Saccharomyces cerevisiae S288C: one gene and its partners. The protein of the gene in region 1 interacts with the protein of each later gene in a biochemical or structural test. Each region holds a gene or a part of one and is shown on either strand. Other genes may lie near its edges.

Region 1 (4,396 bases):
TTCATTGAAAAATTTGTCTTCTACGATATGCTTCCTAGAGCGAGCCTTATGTATCAAATTCATTATTCCCTCTTTGTCATCATTTATCTGTTGGAAATCATCACCCTTTTTCAAAAGCTGCTCGATGGCTATCTTTTCGGATATCTTAGCCTTGGCCTGAAAATCATAGTTGATCCAGTCCCGTAACTCCGGATCATCGGATTCAAAAATGTCGTAATCCTTTGTAAATAGTTTCCATAATGACCCAAGCGTAACGCCTTTTTGACTGATAAAGCTTTTAGTGTGTCTAAACAAATTTGGGACTGTCCAATACAATTCGGGGATGATGATCGTAAATCCATATTTCTTATTAGTTCGGAGCATCTCCAAAAAGGGATCGTAGGTAATATCACAGAAAAACTCAACATCGGGTTCCAATCTCCAATACCATTCGTACTTCTGTACTAGCGGGTGCTTGTAAAATAATCCTGAATAAAACCGGCACATCTTATGATATGATTCTAAGTTTCCGTAAAGTATGCTTCTATCACCTTGATCCTCAATTGCGTTGTAGAACTCGAACGTATCCTTTACGTCACTGGGAAAATTCCAAGATATCTCATCGATAGTGCCAAATTCCACCAGCGCGCCCACTGTAACATCACGTACTTTTGCTTTGAAGTCCTCTTCAAACGGCTGGTCATTTAAGAACACATATGGATAGTGGAACCACTGATTGAAATGCTCTTCTATACTGTTGATAGTCTTGATAACATCTTCTAGCTCCCCGTTCCTTGTTAGCATGACAAACGAGGCATTCTGCTTGATGTACGATGGATTCAACAAATAGTCCTGAGTATTCACACAATTCGAATAAAAGGGTCTGTCCCTCTTCGTCGCAAGATCCATCTTGGAAAACGGAAGAAAATTTCCCATAGTTCCGTCTACGGATGCAGGCTCAGATACAAGTACCACATACATGGTTATGACGAAGGCAATCAGGATGCACGTCGCCGTAAGATTGCAATGGATACATCCCAGAAATGCATTTATCGTCCTTCTTATTAGCAACATCTGCTACCTTATGACGATGTGCCGTATTGAGACACATTTATTGATGACACCTCCATTGAACAAGACTATTTGTGCACGGAAGCACTCATATCTACTACTTCGCATTTTTTTGAAGACCCTTTCTCGAATGCCTGCCCAAATTTTTCAATTTTCTTGGCATCATCCACACACCGCATGCTTAAAGTGTACTATCCAAAAAATGAGAGAAAAAGCAAATACCTAAAAGCACCCCACCTCTTCCATATCCCACGTAATGGCAATTGGCATATATGCTCGGCAAGGGAAATTACTGGTCGTAATATAGTGCAACATGCAACTTGCCAGGCGCACTATAGTCACATCTTATTATGTTAGCAGTTGAGCTCCAGCTTTGACTGCACTTTAGCTTAGTTGCAACTTCGCCCCTCTGTTGGGGGCTGAAAAGTACATCCGCGCATTTAACAATTGCTAAGCTATCTTGAATAACATTATACTAATTAATATCTATAGAAGCAGAATGTCTACTACGTCGAGGACCCTACCCCTGTATTTGTGCCTTGCATGAGCGAGCTATATATCAGCGATACGTTTTTTTGTTTTCCTTTCGACCTTCTTGCCTACCCTCTCACTTTTCCCACCTGAATTTTTTTTATCATATTAGTCCGATATTGAGTTTATAAACCTTGTGAAGTGCTAGATAAAGTACAATCAAAAGAGCAGGCAATAGCCATCACAGCAGTTTAGTACGATTATACACTCTGAACGCGAGTAAAACTAGGTTGTATTTTTAGTCTCGATTGGAAGTTTCGTCAGACAGTACAAGGAAGATGTCATTCAGCAACGGAAATATGGCTTCCTACATGACTAGTAGTAATGGAGAGGAGCAAAGTATAAACAACAAAAACGATATAGACGATAACAGCGCTTACAGACGTAATAATTTCAGGAATAGTAGCAATTCAGGATCACATACGTTCCAATTATCGGACTTGGACTTAGATGTGGATATGAGGATGGATTCCGCCAATTCATCGGAGAAAATATCAAAGAACCTTTCCTCTGGCATCCCGGACTCATTTGATTCTAACGTGAACAGCTTGCTGTCTCCGTCAAGCGGTTCTTATTCTGCAGATTTGAATTACCAAAGTCTATACAAACCAGATCTTCCACAGCAACAGTTACAACAGCAACAGTTACAACAGCAACAGCAACAGCAACAGCAACAACAACAGCAACAGCAGAAGCAAACACCAACTTTAAAAGTCGAACAATCTGATACATTTCAGTGGGACGATATCTTAACACCTGCTGATAATCAACATCGGCCATCCCTCACAAACCAGTTTTTATCTCCAAGATCTAATTACGATGGTACCACTAGGAGCTCGGGCATTGACTCCAATTATAGCGATACAGAATCAAACTATCATACGCCTTATTTGTATCCACAGGACTTAGTTTCTTCACCTGCGATGTCTCACTTAACCGCGAATAACGATGATTTTGACGATCTTTTGAGCGTCGCATCTATGAACTCAAATTATTTACTGCCCGTAAATTCACATGGTTATAAACATATTTCAAACCTTGATGAGTTGGATGACTTGCTATCTTTAACATATTCAGACAATAACCTTTTATCAGCATCAAACAACAGTGATTTCAACAACAGTAATAACGGAATTATTAATACCGCTGACACTCAAAACAGTACCATTGCCATTAATAAAAGTAAAGTCGGTACTAACCAAAAGATGTTATTGACTATTCCAACTTCTTCCACACCTTCTCCTTCCACTCATGCTGCCCCGGTAACACCCATCATTTCTATACAGGAATTCAATGAGGGACACTTCCCAGTTAAAAACGAAGATGACGGAACGTTACAACTAAAAGTTCGGGATAACGAAAGTTATAGCGCTACTAACAATAACAATCTACTTCGTCCAGATGATAATGATTACAACAACGAAGCTCTCAGTGATATTGACCGCTCCTTCGAAGATATCATTAACGGTCGAAAATTGAAACTTAAAAAATCAAGAAGAAGATCTTCTCAAACTTCCAATAATAGTTTCACTAGCAGGAGATCCTCGAGATCAAGAAGCATATCTCCCGATGAAAAAGCTAAATCTATAAGTGCAAATAGGGAAAAGTTATTGGAGATGGCAGATCTTTTACCATCCAGTGAAAATGACAATAATCGGGAGCGCTATGACAATGATAGCAAAACTAGCTATAACACCATTAACAGTAGCAATTTTAATGAGGATAATAATAATAACAATTTGTTAACAAGTAAACCAAAAATTGAATCGGGCATTGTCAATATTAAAAATGAACTAGATGACACTAGCAAAGATCTTGGCATACTTCTAGACATAGATAGCTTGGGCCAATTTGAGCAGAAAGTTGGTTTCAAAAATGATGATAATCACGAAAATAACGATAATGGCACATTTTCTGTTAAGAAAAATGACAATCTAGAAAAACTAGACAGTGTAACAAATAATAGGAAAAATCCTGCGAATTTTGCTTGTGATGTATGTGGTAAGAAGTTTACAAGACCTTATAACTTAAAGTCACACTTAAGAACGCATACAAATGAAAGGCCATTTATTTGTTCTATTTGTGGTAAGGCGTTTGCACGTCAACATGATAGAAAGAGACACGAAGATTTGCATACAGGTAAGAAAAGGTATGTATGCGGTGGTAAGCTGAAGGACGGTAAACCCTGGGGTTGTGGCAAAAAGTTTGCAAGAAGTGATGCTCTTGGTAGGCATTTTAAAACTGAAAGTGGTAGAAGATGCATCACTCCCTTGTACGAAGAAGCCAGACAGGAGAAATCGGGACAAGAGAGTTAATTATTTTTGTTTTTTTAAGCTTTGAATAGGAATTTTTTTTTTCTATATAATAAATATGTAATTTCATAATGACAGTGTAGAAATTATGGCTAATCTAATCCATGCAAAGGTATTATTTGGTTATTGTTTTTGTAATGAAATAGTATAAAACAGTGATATTCTTACGGATTAATAGTTTTTACGCCCGTCTGAATTTTCTAAGCTGCCGAAAATAATGGCAAGTAACAAAAAGTTATTGTATGAGGATGCGTTTTACGTGGCAAAAGTTTTGATGCCAAATAGACAAAAGTAGCTCAATTCAACATGACCTCATCATCTGGTGTTGATAATGAGATTTCCTTAGACAGCCCGATGCCAATTTTCAATGAGAGTTCTACTTTAAAGCCAATTAGGGTTGCGGGTGTAGTAACAACAGGGACAGATCATATCGACCCTAGCGTACTACAGGCATACTTAGATGATACTATTATGAAATCCATTACTTTGGGGCAGCTAGTGAA
Region 2 (3,965 bases), on another chromosome or scaffold:
GCAAAAGACCGGTAACAAGGGTAATGCCTCTACTTCTCGTTATTTCTCTGAGTCAGACAGTGTCTTGGTTGCACAAGGTGTTTCTGGGGCTGTCGTAGACAAAGGTTCCATCAAGAAGTTTATTCCATATTTGTACAACGGTTTACAACATTCTTGTCAAGACATTGGTTGCGAATCTCTAACTTCATTGAAAGAGAATGTTCAAAATGGTGAAGTTAGATTTGAATTCAGAACCGCTTCTGCTCAATTAGAAGGTGGTGTCCATAATTTGCACTCCTATGAAAAACGTCTATACAATTGAGTAAGCATCCATAGATATTTAAAAGTTTATTTTTGCATATAAATATACCTTCATAGAGATCAACAAAACTAAAATAAAGAACAGACCTAATAAAACGCTATATGATTCTGTGCATTTGAGGAGCATCTAGCTTCTAAATAGATAATTAATGCAACTTACTTACTTATTGAAGTATGTACAGTGGAAATAGGAGCTTTCTCTATTTGCTATCATTCTTTGCATCATGTTCATGTACTTTCTGCCAAACTTTTTCGTAGTACTTCTTATTTTCGTTTTTCAGTTCGTCTAGTGAAGGCGGTAATTTTTCATTAATTAAATCGTGCTTTCTTGCCCTTTCAAAGGTAGACAGGGCTTCATCTAAACCCTTTACACCATTAGATAAAGCGCCACGTGGCAACACGCCTGAATTGTGATCTTTTAAAAACTGAACTTTATTGGTTTCTTCTCTGAGAACAGAATACATTCTGGAAACTTTGGCGACGGCCAGAATCTTATTTCGTAAGGCTTTCCTTCGATGTTCGTCATCTAAAATGGAAGCATGTTTAGGCGACGCCGAAGTGGCTGGTTGTGGAGTTGCTTCCGACTTACCAGCTTGTGGCAATTTTTTATCGGTACCAACTAATTCTTCAATGACGGGGGTGTCGTTTTCCAGCTCATCTTCAGTACAGATGTTTAGAATTGCGACAAGCATCTCTGTAACTTTTTCACCAACAAATGGCAAGGACCACGTGAAAACGTCCATGAAATCTGGTAACCAATAGGGGTGTGGAGTCATGTTGAATTGTCTGATATTCATAACATTATTTTCGTATTTCAATATGGCAGCCTTATTATTGTAGGTGTCCAAGTAGTTAGGCGCACTGAAAAGGGTCAAAAGAGAGGGAAAGCCCAAAGTCTTGGTATTTTTGTACATTCTATAACCAGCGTCTTGAGCCTCGTGTGCCCTGATGATGGACAACAGGCCAGTCTCTTGCAGAAAATGGCACGCAGCACGATACGTGAAGGCATATGAACAGCCCCTTACTGAGTTTGGGACAAACATATCCCTTGAAGGTGCCATCTTGCCATGATGAGGAACCATGGTTTTGGAGTTCACTATGTCTTCCTCAGTCAAGTCTTTATCCAAGACTTCGTCGTACTCTTCAATCGGGTCAGCCCACAACAGATCACACATCAGGCCATGAGAGGGAATCTCCCTGAATCTATTTAGGTTGTTAATGTCCTGTAAAGAGTTTAACTCGGGAGATATACCACCATGAACACAAAGATACTGTCCGTTCATTAACGCAGCCAGGGGCAAGTTGTTAAACGATTCGCAGCATTTCTCGTAAATATCTAGATTGTACTTGTGCAGCATTTCATTTTTGAAAGTGAAATATGACGTTAGATGCTTACATTCGTGGTTACCCCTCAGTAGCCAGAAATGGTCGTTAAAATTCAGCTTCAAAGAATATAAATAAATAAGACACTCAAACGAAAAGGACCCTCTGTCGACATAGTCTCCCAAGAACAAATACGATGTAGTGGCCGGATCTCCGCCAACTTCGAATAGCTTCAAAAGGTCAAAGTACTGGCCATGGATATCACCGCAAACTGTGATTGGGGCGGGAACAGATATAAGGTTGGGTTCTTTGCTGAAGAGTTCCGTTGCAAGTGTAACGATCCTGGCCGCCTGCGCAGCCGACAATTTGCCCTCGCGCTTGAAATGATCTCTTAGGAATTCGTGACGAGGTATCCCATTGGGCTGGAACAGCTCTTCATCTGTAGGAACATGTGACGTGATGGCGGGCACTTTATTCATTATTCTGCGGTTTGTCGATACGACTCTTCCGTCATCTAGGGTATATTGTGTAAGGTCTCTGGAAGTTTCTGTGGCCGTGGAATTAGCAGCAGCAACTGTACTAGCCTTCGAATCTATAGGGGTTGTGGACGATTGCGGACGCTCTGTTTTGTTTTCTATAATTTTAATAGCGGCGTTTATCTGCTCAGTATTTCTTATAGCGTCTGAAGACATTGCGGGTTCAAGAAGAAGTACTGGCTCCTGTGTGACTCTATGGGAGGGAAGGAATATCTCCTTTTGTTTGTATCGTAGCAATTGGCTTAATACTGTTCCAGTTGGATATATGTTTTTTCTAAGGAAAAATAGGAGTCTTGATGAAAGGTATTTTTAGGACATTTTCTCATTTGTCTCGGGCCGAAAAAAAGCATTGATCAAGAGAGGGGGACAATGTTGGCGCTAGCGATATCTAGCTGTATCAAACGTATTATAGACTATCTTTGATAAAGACACAGAAATACAAAAATACGTAGAAGAGACATATATATATATATATATATATATGTATATAAAGGGAAAGGAAAATGCACGGGAGAGAATGTTTCGAGAATGACAACAATAGTAGGACGAGAGTCCCTGAAAAGAAGGGTATCTAAGAGAAGAAAAGAACAGAACTAGTGGGAAATGGAAAGAGAAAAGAAAAGAGTATGAAAGGAACTTTAGAAGTCCATTTCCTCGACCTTACCCTGGTTGAACATAGATTTTAGTTCGCCAGAACCAAATTTGTTGTTGTTCATGTCATGATCGATAGAGTTGAGTCTCTCCTCCAAATCCTTTTCCCACATTTCTAATGAAGAAGCGGAGGCAGAAGCGGAGCTGCCCATGGAGTTTTGAGTAGACAACATAGGAACCTCAGCCATAGGTGGCAAAGGCACCCTTCTAAATTCCGCCATGGTCACGGTACGCAATGTGGAAGGGGCTTGTTGTTGTTGGCAGCGATTTTGAGCGTAAAAGTAGTCTTGGGAATTTTGCATAGCGGGAAATTATTGAGCAGTTGAAGAGAGGTTAGTGAGACCGTAAGATCACAAAGGAGCAGATAAGACATTTAAAAATGGGAAGGGACAGCCAGGAAAAAAAAAGATCTCTTTTTATACCCGCTGAGGCGGAATCGGGCGAAACGGGCGATGTTCCAAAACAGTAACGATATGTTATGGCTATTTCCTTTTTGGGACGGATGACTTCCCAAAATGGCGACCGCGGCGGGTAGTGGAGCCCGTTTGGGCTCAGCGCGAGGTAACAAAAAAAAATTTCAAATGTTGGCCAAAAAAAAACGTCAATTATTCCTATGTACGAGGTCTAAACATAAAAACATATCTACTATATTCTGACGTATTTATAATCTATTGTTCTTTCCTATCATTGGCCTACAAAAAAAAAGAGAAGCATGCTCTTAGTTGGAAGTATTCTTACCAATGTCAGAAAGACCGCCGCGACGTTCGACGGCAATGATGTTGGCAGAAGGAACGTGATCCTTGGGGAATAAGTAGCCGGTCTTGACACTCTTGTTGACACGGTTGCTCATTGAGCACAAAGTGTCTTGTAGGACGACATCGTCAAGGAAGAATTGCTTTGGGTTAAGGCCTTGGTCCATGGTCATATAGTTTTTTTTTATTGCTGATGTGGTTTGTAGTTATATATATACGTATATTATTTTTCTTATAAGTAAAAGAACAAGAAAGGAAAGGAATGAAAGAAATAGTTTCGAAAAGACAATAGGAAACGCCAAAAATTCATGGCCTTTTATATGCTGGGAATCAGTTGCCTTCGTATCTCGTTTCTCGTTGCTGTGGAAACGAGATACGAAGGCAACCTTTACGTATTTGCCCT
Region 3 (4,398 bases), on another chromosome or scaffold:
TTTTTGACCATGATCGGGACGTTCAATATCAATCAATATAACGGCCAGGTATATCATTGGATCTCCTTCATAAACCATGATTGTGAACCAAACGCCTATATTGAGCAAGTAGAAGAACATGAGGAACTGAGGTTGCATGCAAGGAAACCAATAAAGAAGGGGGAACAAATACGTATTACGTACGTCAATCCCTTACATGGGGTGAGGTTGAGGCGTAGGGAATTAAGAGTTAACTGGGGCTTCTTATGCCAGTGTGACCGCTGTCAAAATGAACTATCTACATTTGAAAGAGTTCCAAATCTAGAGAAAAAGAATGCGGATGCTAATTTAGGAGTAGAAAAAATAGATTCCAATGATAGTAGTGAAGATGGCTCTAAGAAATCAACTGGTAATCGTAAATCTTCCATGAGAGAGGCCCAGCCAGATTTAAAAGAAATACTGAAGAATGGAAAAGAATTTGAATTAGACATACCAGAAACTGTTGATACACAAGGGAATGTAAGAAAAACCTCAGTCAGATTCGATTCAAACGTTTCGGTCGCAGTGGATGAAAGATAAGAGATAAACGCATACTAAATTACTGTGTCTGTTATTGTTTTTGGCTATATATATATATATATATATATATATATAGTAAATATAAGAAAAACAAAGAAAAAAGAAATGAGAGTGAATTTGAGAGCGGCAGAAAGAAATAAAATTCAAACATTTTGATGTAGATAACTGGAAATAACTGAAGGGGATAAAATATTGAACGAAAAGAAAATGATAATCCTCCAAGATCACATAATAAATATAAAGAAACTCCTCAGGAATACAGAATGTCCTCTGCTAACTTAGACGCAAGGCTATTTGTAAAATTTTATGATAGCTGGTTTTCTTGAAGTGTAGATTGTGGTAATTGCGGAGTGGAACCCATTGAGGAATGTGGTACAGTGTTGATTTCATGTTCCAAATTCGGTATGGCTACGTCTGACCTAGCATTAGCAATGGCGTTGTGATGCTGCTGCTGCTGCTGAGCATGGAAAATTTGATGCTGCTGTTCTTGTTGACCTTGTTGAACATGCTGTGCAGAAGATATAGAGGCACCTGGGGTAACAGGGGTAGTAGTTGACGGATTATCTTGTGGTAACATGGCTAACGACTGTTCATTAATCGTATTAGGATTCGAATTAGCAGTATTGGTGTTGGAATGAGTTTGTGGCGAAGAGTTGCGAGGTGGTAATTGCTGTTCGCATAAAGGAATACGGTCCTTTAGATAACGTATTAAAATTGAGTGTAAATCATCCCTCGTGAATGGTTTGGCCAAGATATCATTCATTCCATGTTGTAAGTATGTGATCAAGTCTTGATTCATAATGTTACCTGTCATGGCAATGATGGGAGTCTCATTATCAAAACTTCTGACAATGGATGTCGCTGTGGCACCATCTAGGTTTGGCATAACAATGTCCATTAAAACCAAATCATACCTATACTTCTCTAGTGTTGAGATAGCTGAAAGACCGTCGCTGACAACTTGGACAGTACAGCCATATTTCCGTAAAAATTTTGAACACAACTGTATAGACACTGCGTCATCTTCCACCAACAGTACATGGAAACCTTTTCGTAGCGTGACTGTGTTATTTTGAGCATTTGGTGTTAGGCTATTCTGATCGGGTAAATTAGGTAGTTGTAAGGAAACTGTAGATGTTGCCGGAGAAGCATTGTTGGTGTTGTTGTTGCTTTGGATAGCTGTTGTTGTTGCTGGGTTGGTATTACCAGTTGGGTTACGGTTTCCATTGTCGCCAAATATTGGCACTTCAATACCATTATTTGCCAAAGTGGAACACAGAGTGTTGAAGTTGTTGAGTAAATTTTCATTTATGGTCTTGAATGTTATCAAACTTTCGATAACCGTATTGTATTTCGAGTTCAACTTTTGTAGTTCTACTTTAGTAGCATAACTCTCCATTTTGGACATATCCAACTCCTTTTGTAGTTTGTCTACTCGCCTTCTTAGATTTCCAAATGCATCTTTACTTACGGTATTGCTTAACAACAGCTCTGTGGTGGATTCATTCAAAAGAGACCCAGAAGGATTGTTGGGGTTAGTGCCTTCACTATTGAAATGCAAAAGAGCCTTTTGAGATTCATCCAAAAGCACTTTCCTTTGCGCCGGAATTTTCCTTTTGATGTTATCGAGACCTTTTCCGTAATGGACTCTAAATTCTGGATGCTGAAACTCCCAACTTTGTTCGCCATATTTACATCTCTGTCTTTCCTCGGGACTTCTCTTAACCTTGTGAAAGTCATACTTGTTTAGTTGCCTTACAAAAGATGCAAAATTTGAATGTTTGAAGTGATTAGGCAATATATGCGTAGTGAACTTTCCTGTGTCCAAAACGACGAAACTTTTGCCGTTCTCAGTCCAAGTTACAATGTCAGGATATTCATTGTTTTCCAGTATCCTGAACAGTTTTCTTACGAACTCATTTGCTGGAGCCTTTGCTCCCGCATTAGCACTGCTGATATTTGTGTTTCCAGCTGGTTGTTGAACGTTATTAGTCTTGTTGTTAATGTGCAGCATGTCAGAAGAGTTGTTTGGCTGCATCGTGTTCATCAGTCGAGGCCCGCTCTGCAACAAGTCCATTCCTAAAAGGTCTGCAGTCGAACTGTTCTCGGTGGTGTTATTATTGCTATCGCCGGTGGTTTTATTGACGTTGCTATTTATGGTGGAAAAGCTCATAGTGGATATCAAAAGTAAGCAACGAAAAAATAGGAATAAGAATAATGGAAACAAAGAGAGGATAAAAAAACTTCTATAACAGTCCTTTAATAATACAGCAATTTCGTTGCTTTTTTGTTGGTCTTGGAAAAAACAGAATGTCCTCTAATGAGCGAGTTAAATATATGACCCAAACAAAAGCAGCAAGCCTAGGTAAGATGTTGGAAGATAGTAAGGTGACCAGGGATATCTGTGTAATGTTAGTAAAACTTTGACAAATGTTTCAGATCCTGGAAGCACTTTCAATCTTGTCACATTCGATGGGATGACAGTTAAGCTCAGTAAAGCTGACCACATTTTGCTCATAGTTAAAGAAAGAAAAAATTCAGAATTTCGGAAAATCCATGTACGCGCATCGATGAGCCCTGCCCTCACTTATGGCATCCCTATTATAGCAAAACCCTGCTTATACTTGTGTTAGCCCTACTTTTAATCGACTTTAAACCTATGCATTTAAGAAAAACTTTTTTTTTTTTTTTTTCGGATGATATAACCGACCTATAATTTCCGAACCGACTTTGGGAAATCACAGCGAAGCGTTTACTTAAGCCCTGATTATATATAGATGAGGGGTAAATATGTCAAAGTACAATGGAATGGTGAGGTATAAGCAGTGATTATGAGACGTGATAAACTAGAAATTTGCAGGAACAATTATTCATTTTTTGGAGTTTAAATAAAACGAAAATACATACATACTTTACATATATAAATAGAAGAAATGTTTCGATAAAGTGGGAAAAACGATTAGAAGATACAAATTAATAATAGAAGTAGAAATAAAAGATAGAAAAATTAGAAAAAAATAAAAAGAAAAGGAAAAGAAGAGGAAGGGCAAGAGGAGCGATTGAGAAATCATATTTCGAATCTTCCACTGACAAATTCGTCATCCATGTGTTGGTCGCCGTCGAAGTCCATCTGCGAATGGCTGTTGTTCATATTTTTCTCTTGGTTGAATCCATCATTGATGTCCTCGTCCCCGTCATCATCGATGACATCTTCGTCTGGAGGTAAGTTTGGATTTCCCGGGATAAAGGAACCAGGTTCCATAAAGTACGAGTTTTGTAGGAATTTTCTGTTGTTATTAACGTGTTCATCGATGGCGGACTCATCAACAAAGGTGAAACCAGCAAACTTTGCTTGCATGGCTGGAGATAGCGGGGTAGCAGTCATCATCGGCTGGTGCTTGTTCATGTATGAAGTTGAAGCTGTTGTGAACTCTGGGTCAAAATTCGAGGTATCCGTCTCCGAGACTAGGTGAGGTTTGAAAGGTGGTGGAATTTTTTTCTGCTTCAAGGCCTCCCAGTCGATATCTGCGAAAAATGGATGAGCTCGTAGTTCTCTTCCATCATCAATGGCACCGAGTCTATGTTTGGGGTTTCTGTTTAGTAAACCCTTTACAAAAGACCTCCCCTCTTGTGACAGTACGTCTCTGGGGAATTTGACTTTACCAAAGGCAATTTTTTGGTACATTTTTTGATTATTTTCCGCAAAGAAAGGGGACCAACCACAACACATTTCAAATATCAAAACACCTAGAGACCAGAAATCGACCATTTTGGTGTAGCCGGTTTCGTCCAGTAACAATTCTGGTGCCAGGTATTCCGTGGTGCCGCAAAATGTGTTTG
Region 4 (3,901 bases), on another chromosome or scaffold:
TTTATTTTTTCAAAATTTTTTTTTTATTTAGCAAGTTTCTCTATCTCCTTTGTATTCTAAAAGTAAATGGATGGAAAGAATGGATCTTTTCGTAGACTATAATGCTTCCTAAAATATACACGTATAGAATGGAGATTCCGACTTGTTTGGAGCCACCAATTGCCCTTTATTTGGTTTATACCAAGGGGCTCACGTAAAAAAAAAATCGATATGCAAAATCCTTCATTTCATGATGCAAGCTTTCGAAAGTGGCGCGGCGAGCAAAGTAGAAAATCAAAGACAGAAGCGTAGAATAAAAGCCCTTTTAATGGTAGGAATACGCCTCGATAACATCATGTATGCAATCTACAAGAACAGTGAACGCCGTTCCATCTCCGTAGTAACTATACAGGGGTTGAAATTTCGTTTTCGAAGGATAGTTGTTATGTAGAAAAGAGGGAAAAAAATATGAAAAAAAAAAAATATAGATACGAGAGGAAAATACAACAAAACATTAGTCATTAGAAGTCCCGGAAAAGATCAGCATATGGGTCTTCACCTTGAACACCGTAGTTGATGTCTTCTTCCGGGTACTTATCGAACTGTGAGGTGTCACCTTGTCCCTGTTGAATGGGCGGTTCATACGGCGTTTCTATGTTTCTAGATAATAATTTTTCCCAGACAACTTCTTTGAACCAGGGGTGGTTTTTGACATCTTCTGTACCATTTTGTAAATTACCTAGTCTTTGACTTAAGTCTCTTGTGATCAATCTACTCAACAGGTCCTTTACATCTTCGTTGAAAAATGGTGGAAATCTCAATTCGGCATTCAAGATTTTCTCATAGGTTTTCATCGTGTTAGAGTCGTAAAATGGCGTGTATCCTGCTAGCATTTCGTAAATCAGAATACCGAAACTCCACCAATCGATAGATTTATTATATGGTTTAGTACTAACGACCTCGGGTGCTATGTAGTCGGGAGTACCGCATAATGTATATGTGACGTCAGGAACGTATTTGGCAAACCCGAAATCTGTTATCTTTATATGCCCGTTTTTATCAAGCAAGATATTTTCCGGTTTCAAATCCCTATAAATAATGTCCTTGCTATGCAAGTACTCCAAAGCTAAACAAACTTCCGCTGCGTAAAATTTAGCAACTGGGTTGGGAAATCTTTGGGATTTCCTTAACAAAGAAAACAATTCTCCACCTTCAATATAATCCATAATCATGAAAATTTGCTGAGCATCTTGGAAAGTCCCCCACATTCTAATAATAAACGGATGTGTTACGATAGAAAGCATCAATCGCTCGTCGTTGGTATGCTCCACCTGTTTCAATCTTACCACGATTTCCTTTTTCAAAACTTTCATGGCGTAGTATCTGCCATTATGTCTTGATCTAATCAAATGGACCCTACCAAAAGAACCCGTACCCAGTGTCCTTAATATCTGAAAGTCTTGTAAACTATACTTCCCACTTGTAACTCTCGCTTGGGCAATAAACTGTTTATACTGCTCCTCATTGTAATAAGTGACATGTGGCTGCTTCGGTTTTTCTTGGGTTTCTCCACCCTCTTTTTCTACAGACTTACTTTCGTTACCGCTCTCTGTGGCTGTTGTTTCCCTTTCACTAGTCTCACCTTTTTGTGATTCCTCACCTTGTCTATCATCTAGAGACTTTTGACCACCTCCATTTTGTTCTTCAGTCGACATACCCAAAAAAAAGATTCTTTCACACAATCAGCTATAATTCATGCACTGCTTAAGCTAAGAGAACACTACTTTCTGTGCTACCTTTGAAGCCGATTGAAAATGCAAGCAAGCCAAACAAAAAAAAAAGTATAGGGTCAGATTCCTTAGCTTTATCAAATTAAAACTCTTAGATGGATACAATCGCAGCTTCTATGATGTTTCGCACCTAAAAATTCTCACGTTTTTCTGGCCAGAGATAGTAGATGAATATTTTTCAAGTTTTCAAGTAAAGGGATACGATATCCCCCTTGATTATTATGTCAAACTTTTACCAGATCCCGCCTTCCCTCCCCCCTAATAGCGCGAAAAAAAAGATCATCATGATTACGTAGAAAAAACCACAACAACACTATGTTGAATCATGTCATAAGCAAAGTCGTTAGGACACTGGCTTTGCAAGAACGAATAGCAGCACAGCTTCGAACAAGTAACTAAAAATATGTGGTGTATACGGTATGTAAATGTTTTTAAGGCCCGTCCAGCGGAGGGTTCTTGTAAATTCTTAGGAAGAATGTCAACAAGATGGCAACAATACTTGTTGAGAACGGTATATACATAAACAGACTAGGATTAACGGAGACAGTACTTCCATATAGCTTAAGGAGGATGGGAGGGATGACAAGCATAACACAGGACCTTACCAAAGCCATTGCTCCGAACATCTCGCCTGTATGTTTCTTAGAGGTGTACTTTATGATACCAGACTGCAAAGTTGGTGAACAAAACGCGCTCAATGCCTGTAAAAGAGCGAATATTATCATGGATGTGGGAGTTTTCTCGCCAAATCGTATCATGACAAAGAGACTCAGTGTTATAACAATCATAGAAAACTGTATGCAAAAGATGTCTATCTTGTCTATCGAATGGTTCAAGTGTTGATAAATCCTCTTTAGCGTGTACAGTAATGTAGGTGATACGACCAGTAACACAACACCTCTTCCGATACCCAGTATCGATATGAAATAACCTAGCTCTACTGCATGCCATTTGTACTCATATGTAGAAAACAAAATCAATGCTGGCATACACGATGTCGTTCCACAGACAAATAGTATATCGAGTACAATGAGTAATATTACGGTATGCCGGGGTACTAAAGACCCTGCACTGTCGGGCTTCAGCCATAACTTTTTTACTGGAGCGAGCAGGTCCATTAACCTCATTATTTGAAATTTTCCATAAGTAACGGATTGGTAATTTCTTGCATCGTCAGAACCCGATTGTGATCTTAGTTTCTCTCTCCTCTTTGTATAAGTTGATTGTGAATGGGCCATTTGGGTTTCATGGCGCGGTTCCACCATGATTGTCTCACATATTATAAGCGCCAGTATAACAAACGCTATTGATGTGTAAATAGGAATGAACCCGTTTCCATGAGTCCACTTCACCAGAAAGGACCCAAACATTGGGCCTACGCCCATAGTGGCATATATACAACTCATCATTATTCCTATTGTCACCATTCTGTGCTCAGTTTTCACTATATCTGAAACGTAACTATTTCCATTCGCCACTAGCGCAAACAAGCCACCGAATGATGGTACGATACACGCAGTAAGAACAATAGCCCATTTGTGATACTTCATTTTCGATGATAGGGTAAAGACGTGCGTAAGAAGCCCTATGACCCTGATGCCGCTCATGTATTTGAAAACACGCACTCTTCCTATTCTATCGGATAATTCTCCCCACTTACCAGCCATGAAAATACTGATTGCCCCTGCTATCATCATAGTGGATGAAGAAATGCTGGAAACTATTGTCTGTACAGCCACGGAATCATAATGTCCATTCTCATCTGAAATTCCTTCCGCTACCTTGTCCATCACCAACGGTATTGTAGCAGTCATAGAAATAGACTCCGCAATACAGATAATCATAACAAGGCCGTAAAGGCATAATAGTTTTCTACGTCCATGCTCTCCCTCAACGCTTTTGGCAACACTCAAAATACTGGGGGAGCGCCGGATAGAGTCATAGCTACTGTCCTGAGCTGTTTCATTAGTATCCAAATTTATTCCAGTACTGTCATTTTGACTAATGATTTCTTCCAAGGCGTTGATCCCAGCCGTTTCCAATAAATAGTCCATCTCATCTGAAGACATTAAACGAGTTGTTTCATCCTCGTTTGACATTGTTCTGCGCCTTTGCTTCGCACGGTTTGAAGA

What was found.
Region 2: the proteins of CRZ1 (region 1) and CMP2 form a complex in vitro, tested with the Saccharomyces cerevisiae proteins (one study listed by BioGRID).
Region 3: the proteins of CRZ1 (region 1) and SKN7 form a complex in vitro, tested with the Saccharomyces cerevisiae proteins (one study listed by BioGRID).
Region 4: of the proteins of CRZ1 (region 1) and TPK1, one has a biochemical effect on the other in vitro, tested with the Saccharomyces cerevisiae proteins (2 studies listed by BioGRID).

The regions. Positions count from the first base shown.
Region 1 is NC_001146.8:577,721-582,116, forward strand, and holds CRZ1 (DNA-binding transcription factor CRZ1), read left to right. Parts: upstream 1-1,859; coding exon 1,860-3,896; downstream 3,897-4,396. Other genes in the region: KTR5 (putative mannosyltransferase), read right to left, coding at 1-1,053; SAM complex subunit SAM50, read left to right, coding at 4,200-4,396. UniProt on the Saccharomyces cerevisiae protein: Involved in the regulation of calcium ion homeostasis. Binds to the calcineurin-dependent response element. Transcriptionally regulates PMC1, PMR1, PMR2A and FKS2.
Region 2 is NC_001145.3:158,530-162,494, reverse strand, and holds CMP2 (calcineurin catalytic subunit A), read right to left. Parts: upstream 2,316-3,965; coding exon 501-2,315; downstream 1-500. Other genes in the region: IMP dehydrogenase IMD4, read left to right, coding at 1-301; ribonucleotide reductase inhibiting protein SML1, read right to left, coding at 2,798-3,112; HUG1 (Hug1p), read right to left, coding at 3,529-3,735. UniProt on the Saccharomyces cerevisiae protein: Calcium-dependent, calmodulin-stimulated protein phosphatase. This subunit may have a role in the calmodulin activation of calcineurin.
Region 3 is NC_001140.6:511,065-515,462, reverse strand, and holds SKN7 (kinase-regulated stress-responsive transcription factor SKN7), read right to left. Parts: upstream 2,732-4,398; coding exon 863-2,731; downstream 1-862. Other genes in the region: SET5 (S-adenosylmethionine-dependent methyltransferase), read left to right, coding at 1-558; serine/threonine protein kinase SCH9, read right to left, coding at 3,626-4,398. UniProt on the Saccharomyces cerevisiae protein: Transcription factor that is part of a SLN1-YPD1-SKN7 two-component regulatory system, which controls gene expression in response to changes in the osmolarity of the extracellular environment.
Region 4 is NC_001142.9:109,466-113,366, forward strand, and holds TPK1 (cAMP-dependent protein kinase catalytic subunit TPK1), read right to left. Parts: upstream 1,695-3,901; coding exon 501-1,694; downstream 1-500. Other genes in the region: YJL163C (uncharacterized protein), read right to left, coding at 2,201-3,868.